Linked DNA regions of Coturnix japonica. The protein of the gene in region 3 interacts with the protein of the main gene of each other region in a pairwise test. Links are inferred from orthologs where the notes say so. Each region holds a gene or a part of one and is shown on either strand. Other genes may lie near its edges.

The links.
Region 1: the proteins of FHL3 (region 3) and TTLL10 interact in binary tests that used the Homo sapiens proteins (3 or more experiments, as listed by UniProt). The two-hybrid records come from large-scale screens. The link is inferred for Coturnix japonica from reciprocal best matches to the Homo sapiens genes FHL3 and TTLL10.
Region 2: the proteins of FHL3 (region 3) and PATL1 interact in binary tests that used the Homo sapiens proteins (3 or more experiments, as listed by UniProt). The two-hybrid records come from large-scale screens. The link is inferred for Coturnix japonica from reciprocal best matches to the Homo sapiens genes FHL3 and PATL1.

Annotation. Positions count from the first base shown.
Region 1 is NC_029536.1:2,184,902-2,189,149, reverse strand, and holds the start of TTLL10 (inactive polyglycylase TTLL10), read left to right. Parts: upstream 1-1,448; 5' UTR 1,449-1,522; coding exon 1,523-1,752; intron 1,753-2,108; coding exon 2,109-2,215; intron 2,216-2,373; coding exon 2,374-2,530; intron 2,531-3,289; coding exon 3,290-3,408; intron 3,409-3,920; coding exon 3,921-4,041; intron 4,042-4,200; coding exon 4,201-4,248. UniProt on the Homo sapiens protein: Inactive polyglycylase.
Region 2 is NC_029520.1:202,683-206,877, reverse strand, and holds the start of PATL1 (protein PAT1 homolog 1), read left to right. Parts: upstream 1-1,395; 5' UTR 1,396-1,451; coding exon 1,452-1,466; intron 1,467-1,759; coding exon 1,760-1,871; intron 1,872-1,948; coding exon 1,949-2,238; intron 2,239-2,848; coding exon 2,849-3,043; intron 3,044-3,133; coding exon 3,134-3,235; intron 3,236-3,336; coding exon 3,337-3,426; intron 3,427-3,522; coding exon 3,523-3,731; intron 3,732-3,799; coding exon 3,800-3,883; intron 3,884-4,039; coding exon 4,040-4,195. Other genes in the region: syntaxin-3-like, read right to left, coding at 428-457. UniProt on the Homo sapiens protein: RNA-binding protein involved in deadenylation-dependent decapping of mRNAs, leading to the degradation of mRNAs. Acts as a scaffold protein that connects deadenylation and decapping machinery.
Region 3 is NC_029538.1:3,109,474-3,113,696, forward strand, and holds the start of FHL3 (four and a half LIM domains protein 3), read left to right. Parts: upstream 1-1,423; 5' UTR 1,424-1,555; coding exon 1,556-1,562; intron 1,563-4,223. UniProt on the Homo sapiens protein: Recruited by SOX15 to FOXK1 promoters where it acts as a transcriptional coactivator of FOXK1.

The sequences.
Region 1 (4,248 bases), on a different chromosome or scaffold from region 3:
CTTCCAATCCATGCCAATCTATGGGTCTATGACAAGCGTGATATTACTGTAGTAACACTCACTGCCACATGTGTGTGCATCGTGCACTCTGGCAGATCCAGCCATTGGGTGGTAAGGAGAAGATGCAAAACCTTCAAGCTCTGCACTTGCCAGGGTTGGTTCCTTGTCCTTCATATGGTGCCCATAGAATTTGCAGAAACCTAATTCTAAAAGCAAGGTCTCAATACTGTTTATATAGCAAAATATGGCACAGAAACCCCTTTGGCAGAAGAACTACCTCGAATTAAACATGCACAGTCTTAGCATAGCTATAACCGTGCCTGTGCCAGCAACACGCATTCTTTGCTATTGCACATTAATTTCTTGAGAGTAGTTTTCCAACATCATAAGGATTATGCAGTCACTTTGGCTGTCATTTCTGGGCAAGTTGTTTGAAATTCAGCAGATTTTGGAGGCATTGCATTCCTGCAGGCTGAACGACAGCAGGGCTGAATGCCTGCCCAAAGAAGCAGCTACAACACCCCTTGCACTATGGTTAGCACTCTGATCCAAACCAAAAAGAGAAGGAAAACAGGCATCCAAAGTGCATTAGGCTCACAAAATGCAGGGTATAAATAAATCCTTCAGGTTCCTCTGGTTATAACCTCTTAACTCAGTACCTCCTTCACTGCAGCCTCTCCCCTCCAACGATGAGGCAACAATTTCCTAGAGGGTGTAACGCTGGTTGGAAGCATTGCAACACGGCCACTCTCCTCCTGCATGTTACTCCCTGGGTGACTGAGCTGGGTTGGATGCCAGAGGGAATGCAGGAAGGTGGAAGAGACAGCCAGGACAGGACCCTGCCCTGCTCTGCAGGAGCTCCATTGTGTGCAACAGCAGGAAAATACAGAGAACGTTCCTGAAGGTCACAGTGACACCAGGACGAGTGCCAGTGTATTCAGGCTGCCTGGAGAGAGGCTGACGCTGAGCCAAACCTCACCTGCCAGCCTCTTTATTCACCCATTTCTTATTAGGGCAAAGAGAGGCGTCCTTACATGGAAATACATTTTGCTTGTGCTCCTCTTCTTGGATTTTTGCTTTTTGTGGCATTGCAGGTGCTGCTGTTCCACATGAGCCCAAGAGCAGAACTGTTGTGTCTGTATTCACTGAGATGACTCCTGCTGAAACGGATCTGCCGAAGTCACAAAGTCAGGTCATTCCATCTTAAAACTGGCAACTGCGTTTGGTTAGGACACGGAGAAGGAGCCTAAACCATAGAACATAGAACCATAGAACTCCAGGATGCTCCTTAGAAGTTTGCAGAAGGATTTGCCCCTGCTCACTACAGAAGCAAAAAGCCTTAGGAGGACTTAGAGCACTGATTTCACCCTGCTGGCAGCTTTGATCATTTGATTTAAGTCCTGACAAATCAAACAGCACGTGGCGCACTCCAGTATTTGTAGAACCCCCAGGCATTCCAGCAGCAGAACCCCTCCCCAGGCAGCTGTTGCTAGGAGCTGAGCTGTGTTTTGTAGGCTATGGGATGGCGGAGCAACGCGGGTGTCTGAGTCGCTCATGGGGCTCCAGCACCTCTCCATCAATGCTAACAGGCCATCGGCACTCCTCTCCACAACCTGCTCCATCCCAGGGTGCTTTTGTGCTTCCCAAGCTGATTACGACTTATCCAGTAGTCAAGTGCACGTCCTCCAAGCTGAAAAAAGGACAGGGAGCAATTAAAGCTCTCTTAAAATATTTAGAAACAGCCGAGAGCAGGTTAGAATTTCCATTCTTTCTGTTAGCACGGGGTGTGGGTTTGGCCCCCTGTAGGAAGGGGCTGAAAGGCAGCAAGGTATGGCTGTGCAGAATGGCTCCCTGATCTCCATGCAGCCCTTTGGACACTTGTCCTTGTGTCAAACAGTTGCCAACCCTGCATCCAACACCTTTCCTGGGTTATGGCTTCTGTCTCCATAAGGAACAGCTCATTTTTTGGTTTTCACATCAATTGCAAAGAGCAAGAAAATGGGTTTTTAAACTTTGAAGCTTCCTATCATTTATCCCAAGGCTGAACACAAAAGACAAGGACCACTCACACGCTTCCCAAGCACTGACCGGGATCTTTCCTCTTGCAGCCCTGGCTGTGCAATGGCCTCTGTGTCATCCAAGAGGAAGAAGAACACCAGAGCTAAAGGACGGGGCCATCAACAACAGCAGGCACAATCCTTACCAGCTGACAGAGGTAAATCTTGTGCCTTCAGTTTTAACCCATAGCTGTGCCAAGTCTTATAGCCAAGGTCTGAGTTGATATGGAGATCAAGAGGGTTACATGTTCTACACCTGGCCACCAACTTACAGTGTTCTTGCAGGCAGACTGCACACAATTTATACCTTTTTCAGGTAAACCCCGTGAAGGTGTTTTTCCTACCTCTGAAGTGGAGCTTGACAAAACCAGGCCTTGTGGTCTTCCAGAAAAGCAGTCAGAAGAACTGATACGAGAAGTGCCAATGGCATCAGGACCATATTTTTATATCAGTGGATCTAATGGAGAAGGACTGTAAGTAGGTCCTTAGCAATATATGACAGCACATGAAACTGCACTACAACATGTAATCTTTTCCCTTTGACTTTATGTGTTGTCAGAACAAAGCATTCAAAGAATAGTTTAAGAACAATTCAAATGGCAAGTGCTTAATGGAAGACCAACTGTAGTAATGTAGCTGTTAAGCAAGAAACTAAACACTTATACTTGTTAAATGAGAGTTCTCTGGGTTTTACATAGTAAATCAGCCAGCATCATCTCAAGCTCAACTGCAGTTGATCAACCTTTCATTGCCATAAATGCATTAAAAGCAAAAAATAAGAAGACTTTTATGCCCAAGAAAAATAGTCAGATCAGAAATTCCATCATTTACTTCCTGAGTTCTACAAATGGCTTTTCCTATTGTGATCTGTCATCTCTTCCTGCACATCTAAGCACAGAGGCTCCTTACTGACTCCGGACCATAATGCACAACATTCCTATTCTACGGGTACCACGTCCATCTTAATTGAAGCAACCCTGCTGAAACGGTACAGGTTCTCATTAACACTGCAGAATTACAACATCCTGAACATCCTCAGTCATGAGTTCAGAGCAGCAGGTCCACTTGCAGCCACTCTAATTAATGTTTCCCACCTTATTCCCCACCCAGGGGTTCTTGGGGGTGTTAAGTCAAACTCCCAGGGAAACTGATAGGAGTTGAGGGGATGTGAACTAATTCAGTCTTCATTGCTGGAAAGGAGGCTATTTTGCTATTTTGTTTTCCATACGCAGTGTGAGCATCTATTGCCAGAGCAAAGGCTGGCAGCGTATCTATGACAACAGAAGACAGGATTACGCACTGAAATGGTGTGAGATCAAGTGCCGAGAGACCTATTACCATTTCAAAGAAGGTAGAGGTGCCAGTGGGCCTCGAGTGGGAGAGGGCAGTGGGAAAAATGAGAGAATGATGGACTTGTGGCTCTTAGGGCAGAGGTCACCTGAAGGGTAGGAGAAGCAGGTAACCTCAACTTCTTGGCAGTCCTCAGTGGGGATATTGGAGCTGGATTGCCATGGTGATTAAAGAAAGGGTTTTAGACAAGAGAATGGCTTGGAGAGAAAAGATACCATTGAAATGAACTGCACACAAAGCATCATAATCACTTCTGAAATGCAGCCCTCCCTCTGTGGGTTGGAGCTCACAGGCGGCAATAGGACTGACACTGTTCTGCTGCACAGCAGCAGCTGGCACCTCACCAGCCTGGCCAAGACTTTGCATACATATAGAGGGTGCCCCACATACACAAGCACCCCCTGCTACTGCCTGCAAGTAAATTGGTGAGAGTCAGCAGTGCCCAGATCAGCATCATACCCTCCAGGTTCTGCTGCATGAGATGAGGACAAGCTGTCTTTTCCCCTCATACAGGCGAACAGCTGCTCTACCAGATTCCCAACAACATTGTCCTTACCAGCAAGATTGGGCTTTTATCCTGCCTGCGAGAGCAAGAGCGAGTGATGAGAAAGATCAACTTGAACTCTGGTCCCAAGTAAGAACTCTCACCTCATTGCACCTTGAGCAGAAACACGCACCAAGCAAAAGTGAGAGCGCATAAAAAAGAGGGTGCAAAGTATAGGGGGATTTTTTTCCCCCAGAGGAATGAATGTGTCAGACAAGATTTTCAGCTTGTATTTCAACTCTCCCGTAGGTTACTGAAGATGGAAGATTTCTTTCCAGAATCTTTTCGCTTGGACTT
Region 2 (4,195 bases), on a different chromosome or scaffold from region 3:
GGCTTTGTGGCCCCCAATTTCACCCCACGGCGGCTCCACGCGAGCTCCCCTCTGCCCCGCATCCCCCCTTGCCATGACCGCGGTGTCGTGCCCCGGCCACCCCCACCCCTCCCATTTCTGGGGTAAAAATAACACTAATCCCCCGCTCCCCCCCGATGGTGGGCAGCGCCTCCCTTAATCCCCGCTAAATCCCCCACGGGCAGCACGGAGGCCGCGGGGCAGCGCAGCGTGAGGAGCACCCCAAGAACCCTAAAGGAGGACAGGGGGCCCCACGCGTGTCCCACATCCCTTCCTGCGCCCCATAGCGAGGACGCAGCCAACCCAAACCCTCCCAGGGCTCAAACCCCCGGTCCCCTCCAGCCGTAGGGCAGCACCCATCATTGGGTACCCCCACGGGTGACCCCCATTGCTGCCCTGCACCCCTCACCGCCCGGAGCTGCTCCAGCCGGTCCCGCATGGTGCCGGGCTGCCAGGACTCGCCGCCCGCCCGCTGCCGTCCTACATCAGCCCCGCTAATCCCCGCTGATGGGCACTCGACGAGGGCAAGGCTGAGGCGGGGCTGCCCGCACCAGCCACGTGTGATCCAGGCACCCGAGGGGGGGTGACAAAGGTGCCAGTGACAGCAGTGTCACCACAGCCTACAGGTGGCCCCGGCACAGGATGGGGGACAGGGGGTGGTGAGGGACAGGGGGACACGGCCATGGGTAGGGGATGTGAGTGGTGGGATGTGGGTTGGAGGACAGGGACATGGATAAGGGATGGGAGTGTTGGGACACGAAGTGGGGACACGGCTATGGGTGGAGGGAACGGGCGGGGGGACACAAGGTGGGGATGTGGCTGAGGGTGAAGGACGCGGGCCGTGGGACGTGGCCATGGATGGGAGGCACGGGTTGGAGATGTGGCTCACAGTAGGGGACACGGGCCGGGGCTGTGGCCATGGTTAGGGGACATGAAGCGGGGGACATGGCCGTGGGTAGAGCACATGAACTATGGGATGCAGGTTGGGGGGACGTGGCCGTGTATAGGGGGCTCGAACTTGGGAGAACGGCCACGGTTAGGGGACGTGAGCTGGGGGACGTGTCCGTGGGCAGGGGTCCCGCGTGGGGGGACACAGGCTGGGGGACACGACTGGAGGGAAAGACCCAGCGGACATCGCTGAGCCGTGGCTGGCGTGTGGGGCACGGCTGGGGCAGCAGCGCGCGGCCGGGGCACGACGGCGCACGAGTGCACGGAGGCGGTCAGAAAAAGGCGGCCTGTCCCTTTAAGAGCCGCCCGCAGTGGGGCGCGGCGCTCTGTGAGCCTTCGGCTGGGCGGAGCTCATTTGCGCATGCGCACCGCACGGACGGGCGGAGGAGGTGACGTCATGCGCGTGCGCCCGCGGCGGCGCATGCGCGGCGGGGCCGTAGCGGGCCGCGCGGAGCCTGCGGGCGGGGGGCGCCGCCGCCGCCGCCATGTTCCGGTACCCGGTGAGCGGGGGGAGGGGCTGAGGGGGCTGAGGGGGCGGGGTCGGGCCGCGGGGGTCGGAGCTCGGGACTCCGAGTTGGGTTCGGGGCCGCGGCTACGGGCTCAGGGTCAGGGCCGTGGGGCCGCGGGTCGGGCTGAGGGTCGAGGCTGTGGGCTCAGGGCCGAGAGTCGGTGTGGGCGCTGTGCTGGGACCGCTGCTCGGGACCGGGGCTGCCGGGCAGGGCTGGGCCTTGGCCTCGGTGGCAGCGCCGGTTCGGTAGTCGTGGTGGTACGAAGGCACCGTCTGCCGCTGCAGTCCCTGGAGGAGTGCCCGCTGGACGAGGAGGAGGACGGCTTCCAGGTGCTGGGCGAGGAGGATGAGGACATCGATCAGTTCAACGATGACACCTTTGGGGCCGGGGCTGTCGGTGAGTTCTCTGTCTCTTGTCCACACTGCCCACCCGGTGCTCTCTGCCGCTGCGCTCAGCCCGCCGTTCCCGTGCAGATGATGACTGGCAGGAGGCCCACGAGCGGTTGGCTGAGCTGGAGGAGAAACCCGTGGGCTCAGGGCAGCAGGCCCAACCCAGCAGTGAGGATGCGGAGCTGCTGGGGGAACCTGAGGATGCGCTGGCGGAGCGACTGACACGGCTGGTGATCGAGAGCGAGCTGGAGGACCCTGCCATCATGAGAGCCGTGCACACCCGTGGGTCTGCTGCACAGAGCGTGACGCTCAACACCAGCATCTGGGATGGCCCCTCTGTGCTGCAGCGCATCCGCACGCCACTGCTCACACAGGTAGGGGCACAACGCTGGGCACACGCAACGAAGGGTTGCAGGAATGGGGGAGGGTTGAGTGTTAGGAAGAGGTTCTTCACCACAGTGGCTGTAGGTGTGGAGAAGGCTTCCCGGAGAAGCAGGCACTGCCCCACACTACCAGAGCTCGAGGAGTGTTGGGGCAATGCCCTCAGATGTAGGTTTGTGTTTGGGGCGTTCCTATGTGGGGCCGGGGGTTGGACTCAGTGGTCCTGTGGGCCCCTCCCAGCTTGGGATATTCTGTGGCTGTTGGGTGAGCTGCTCTTGGACATCACTTCTAGTCCCTGCACATGCTCCCTCTGGGCTGGGAGATGCCACGCAATCCCTGATGGTGTCAGCACTCAAGATTTGGGATCGTCAGTGCCTCGAGCCATAATTGTTTTCATTGCTGGTTGACAGAGAGTCAGGCTTAATTAAGAGCTGGGCGCAGGATCCTTAGGGCTCTCTGAGAACCCTGGCTGGGGCGTGGGGATCTCCAGCACTGGGAAAGCGCAATGGGGCGGCTCCTCTGTTCTATACCACGTCATATTCAGTGCACCTTGCCACCACGTCCAGCTCTGAGTCTTTTTCACAGGGCCACTTTTACTTTCAGGAGATGCCATCGTTGTCCGTGCTGGACTACGCTCTGCCCCAGAGACCCCCACAGGCTCGGGAGGAGGAGCGGGACCCCTCGGAACGGGCACTGCCACGCCGCTCATCCTCCCCCATCATCGGGAGCCCCCCCGTGCGAGCAGTCCCCATCGGCACCCCACCCAAGCAGGCCACCATGCCCAATTTTAACCAGCAGGTATGGCCCCAACTCCTCACAGCAGGTGCAGACCCCTGCACCCCTGGTGAGGATCCAGCGGTCAGACCCCCACTGCTTTCCTTCTCTCAGATCCTGTGTCCAAAGCCTGTCCACATCCGGGCTACCATGCAGCAGCGCTACTCTGCTCCCTACGGCGAGAGGATGTCCCCCAACCAGCTCTGCAACGTACCGGTACCCCCTGCTCCCACCCCCATAACCCTCTGATGCCCCGACTGCATCATACTGCCTAGGAGGACTGTGACCAAGGGGTCTGCTCCTTTATTTTCCTGCAGAACTCTTCCTTGCTGGGCCACCCGTTCCCTACCAGTGTCTCTCCCGTTCTCACCCACCTGCAGCGGGCACAGCTGCTGGGAGGTGCACAGGTAAAGCCCTAGACTCTGTGCCCCCCAAGGCCCATAGGGGCGAGGGTCCAGCATTCTGATGGACCCTGCCTGATCCGCACTCCCTCTGCCCCACAGGCTGGCCGAATTTCTCCTAGCCAGTTTGCTCGAGTCTCAGGCCTTGTTGGGAGCCCACTACCCTCCGTCAACCCCAAGCTGCTGCAGGGCAGAGTGGGGCAGATGATGGCTCCCACTGGTGGCTTTCGTGCCTTCTTCGGGGCTGGCCCCACTCCGCCCTCACAACCGCAGCCTCCGCCGGGCCCCATGCCTCACCTGCAGGGCCTGAGGTAGGCACTGACCCCCTCATGATCATTCACCTGCCCCACGGCCCTCTAACCCCCTGTGCTCCCCACAGGCCGCAGCCCTTCCGACTGGACACCACCCACCTGCACCCCCAGCACCGCCGGCTCCTGCACCAGCGGCAGCAGCAGAACAGAAAGTGAGCACTGGGCGGGAGGGAGCGTGAGGAGGTGGGCGATGCTCCGGTGCCGGCTGTTCTGGGGGGCCCATGCAGCCGGGGGTAGCCTGTGCACCACTCTCTGTCCCTTCCTGTAGCTCCTGTGTGTTCATGGGTGCCCTTCTTGCCTCCTGCCAGCCAGCACCGTGGCCTCAACGGCTCGGTGGGGGACCGAGGGGGCCACCGGGGCAGCCACCAGGAGCAGGTGCGCAAGGACCCCTACGCCAACCTCATGCTGCAGCGGGAGAAGGACTGGGTGTCTAAGATCCAGATGATGCAGCTGCAGAGCACCGA
Region 3 (4,223 bases):
TGGGAGCTACACACAAAGACTCCTCATTGCTCAGGTGAAAGGTCTGGAGCCCAGGTTCAGCCACAGTGCTGGGTCTGCTCACCTCAACCTTTCTTTCCCCCCTGCTTCTCACATAGAACAGCTTGTGGGCTCTGTTTGGATATAGATCTGTAGCATGCATGAGTGGACGTCATGTTTTCCATGCTGCTGCATCTCAGGAGGAGAAGGAAGCTTTCTGGTTCCGTTGCTGGCCAGCAACGTGGATCTTAGTTCCTTTTTTAGCCCTGCCAAGCTTGCCTTGTGCCAAAAACCTTTGAGGTGCAAATCCCAGGAGGGAGATAAAATAGCTCCGTGCCCTGCAGGTGTTGTAAGGGTAAGTAGTGCTCCTGCTGGTGACAGCTGCTGGGGAACTGACCAAGCAAGAATCCTGTGAGAGGAATGGGATGTCAGGTCTGTGGAAACTGAGCACTCTGGTGTTTATGGTCTTGCACTGGGTCACCATATGTACTTGTGTTGTTTGTGATGGGATGTCAGGGAGTTAAACCTCCTTCCAAGCAAACTAATCTTCAGTTTGTGTCCTGGGTGAGGGTTAGTTACTACCTGCCTCTTTTCCAAGCATATTAAACTTCAAATAGAAAAGGCAGTAATTAAAATCTAAGACATTTCGGTGGCTAACTTTAGCTCAGTGAACACTTTTCTACTAAGAAAACTGCTGTGATGCCTAAACAAGAGGTTTCTGGAATATGTGAAGTGTCAGAGGTACTTATTGAAGTCATTAATAGCAGAAAGTACACTGTGTTGCATGTAACTCAGCCAAGAGAACTTTTATTTCTAGTATTTCTCAACCCTGTGCAAACATCATGTAATGCACAGGAAGATTAATTCTGGCCTGTTGGGCTTGTATAGAAGTCTTGGATGTGTTGCTTTTGGAGAGCCTGAGCAGCTGTATGTGGAAAATCAGAAATGCATTTCATGTTGGCAGAGGTGTTGGACCATAAGCACACACTGCATCATGCTCTGTGCTCCGAAACAATGACTCAACCCAGGAGTGATGAAATACGTGCTGTCAGATCCTTGATAACTCTGAGCTTTAATTTCGGAAGGAGATGCAGAGCAGAACTTGGAATAAGAAGGGAAAAGAGCAGTCCAGGGATTTTGAACAGCTGGGCCCCAAGTGGATGGTGCTGTACAAATTGCACTGACCCTTTCCAGTGGAAATCAGTGAGCGCTGCTGTCTTCAGGAGGTTGAGAAGCAATTTATATCCAACAAATTGGAATCAGGGATTCCTGCGCCCTTTATGAAAATATAGAGTAACTCGAATTGTAAGAGTCCAATTTCATGTCACAAGTAATGAAATCTGAACCTGTGCAGGAAATAAAATCCCAGTGCTGATGTCACCATCTGGTTTATGATGTGGCTGCTTTTGTTCCTGGGCGAGCACTCGAGCGTTCTACAAGTGAGGTGCTTACAGGACAGAGTCCCTTGCACTGCACCTGCTGATAGTGCCTGCACTGTGAGTCAGTGGGAGCTGCCCCAGCACATCCCCAGGCTCTGCACAGATCCTTCACTGCCACAATGCAAGGTAACAACAGCCTGGAGGTTTGGGTTCCAATCTCTGCCAGCTTGGGGCACGTTGACTGTGAGTAGATTGGTTTTTGGTCTGACCTACGAGGAGAGCAGAGGGAGGTTTGTTGGGTGCTGGTGTTTTCTTGCTGTAGTGAAGCCCGATGTGCTGGAGTGCAGGAGCATGCAGCCAGCCCTGGGAACTCTGCAACTCTTGGCAGAGAGCAGCTTGCTATTGCTTCTTCCTTCAGGGACAGAGTGTGGAGCATCTCCTCCACAGCAAAGAAATGGGACGTACTTTTGCAACCTCTGCTTCATGGGCTGAGACATCAGCTCTTCTTTGTGTGGAAGTCTTCATGTAGAAGTTTCGAAGAGTCCAATTTTGGATCTATCCCTTTTTATGTGGGTCTCCTTGTATATCTCAGATTTAAGCATGATTATGAGGTTCTGTGAATGAGCCACAGGCCTGGATCAAAGGCTGGTTAGTGTTACTCTTTCTTATCTCTGTGTGTTTGTTCTGCAAAGGAGCACTTTTCAGCTGTTCTTGAGTTTCTGGGCAGTCAGCAAAAGTACTTTGCAGTGGCACCTGCCAGCAGCAGGGCTTGGGGCTGTGGCTCCTCCACACACAGGAAACTCCATGTTTAGTGTGTTAGTGATGTAGAGGCATTTACGCTTTATTTTGTGAGTGCTTGTGCCCGTTTATAATAGCTGCTTTCACTGTATGTTTTGAATGTGGCAAGTCTTCCCTTTCAGAAGTACCACCAAAGACTGCATCTCAAAGTATGGCAGGAACTGGAAAGCATGTGGGTTTCTGCACATTTATTTTTAGTGCTTGCAGTGGGTTATTTCTTCGAGGTTTTATGTAGAATACACAATAATCACAACTTCTGCAGCTTAAAGCGTGCAGCACTAAGGGTCTAAGTGAGAAGTGCTTTACCAAGGAGACTATTGATGAGCAGATCACCCAGCAGAGAGATGATTAACTCTAGAAGGTTGAAACTTACTTTATGTCTACATTAGCAGGAGAATGGCTCCAGGAGACCTCCCTCTTCCCGTGCCATGTCCTTCTTAGCTTGGCTCGCTGTCCTTGGGAGTGCTGCCTTTTTAGGGACGGCTGCAGCTGGCACATGCAGCATCTCCCAGGCAACAGAAGATCTTAGTTGTGTTTCGGACCACAGGCGAGTGGTTCTTGGGATGGTAACCTGAGACAGTTTGTCTTTGCCAGGATTCAGTCCTTCCCTAGAATTAGAAGTGCTCACATGCTGCGGGTTACAAAGCTGTAATTGCCTTTGCTTGCGAGGGACACAGCAGCTGTAAGAAGTGTGGTAGGCAGGACTGCAGGCTGTTGCACAAGAAGTGAGGGCAGAGGCAAAGAGGTCCCTGGCTGGTGATCAGACAGCAAGAAGGCAGCTGCATGGCATGCAAGTGGCAGTGCAGTGTCTCCCCTATCACCTTGGCTTCTGCTTTGCTCTGCTGGTTTTGTATGCAGATGCGGTGCCATCCACCTTCCTCAGCATCACTGTTATATAGGAGACTATGAATGCTACAGCTTGGGAGGCAGGGAATTGACTCAGAAAGAGAATATTTGGTCTGGGGGAAAAAGAAAATCCTTTTGCCCTTGAAGCAATAGGCAATTGTTAAATAAGATGTGTGTTCTAGATGTCTTTTCCTGCTCCTGTAGATCAAAGTTACTTTGTGTATTAATAAAGCATCAACAACGAAAACTGAAGTTGAATGGATCCTTAGTCAACTAAAGGGCTGCCAGGCTCTCAGGTGAAGGTGATTAATAAGGGCTGGGCTCAGACCATGCAGGATTGCTTTTCAGCATAGATGCACAACGCATGCACATGGCTGCATCTACCCCTTGCAGCCTGTCCATGGGTTGATTTTCATGCATGCTTAGAGACAAGCTTGAGGCTCCTGTGCAAAACAGAGACGTAACCTTTTATTCAGGGACTACAAAACGCTTTGTAAAAAGAAATTTAAATTATTCATTGCTTCTGAACTAAGAATGGCTTCATCCTCAAAACAGCTAGAGGAAACAAAAACTACAGCACAGAGCTGGAATTGTAAGAGAACATTAGGGAAATAAAGCAGAATGCCTTGGTTTTGCAGTGATGTCTGCACCCCATAGCAAGCACCTCGAGCAGCCTGATTCTTTTTTCTGCATGGAAGCTGTGGTGTCTGTTTGTATTGCAGGATCCTTGTGTAGTGGGTAGATCTAAGACGAAGGTAAGTTGGCCTCAGTGTGCAGTTAGTCATTTCCTGTCATGCTTTCATGTTTGAGTTGTAGTGTATTTGTTTTGACCTTTATTTCTTGGGGCAAAGAGGTTTTGAGACATTGTTTCTGGAGCCTTCATCCTGCAGTTGGGTAAGCAGTTAGGCGTCTGTGTGGCCATGGACCAAGTCAGCTGGGTTTTATGGTCATCAATGTGGGGCTGGTTGGTTTATTGGTCTTATTGTGGACGTATATTTGATATACATTTGTTTGGTGGAGAACTCTGCCTCCACGCAGGTGCCCCATTGTGATCCTGATAGGTTGGGACGGGGCTACAGCACACAGAGCAAGAAAAGCAATGCTACAACAACGAGGTAACACGAGGCCCACAAGCACCAGTTTGCAGTTTCATCTGCATTTATATATACCCTCTTTATGACTTTCTAGTTGAACCCTCATCCA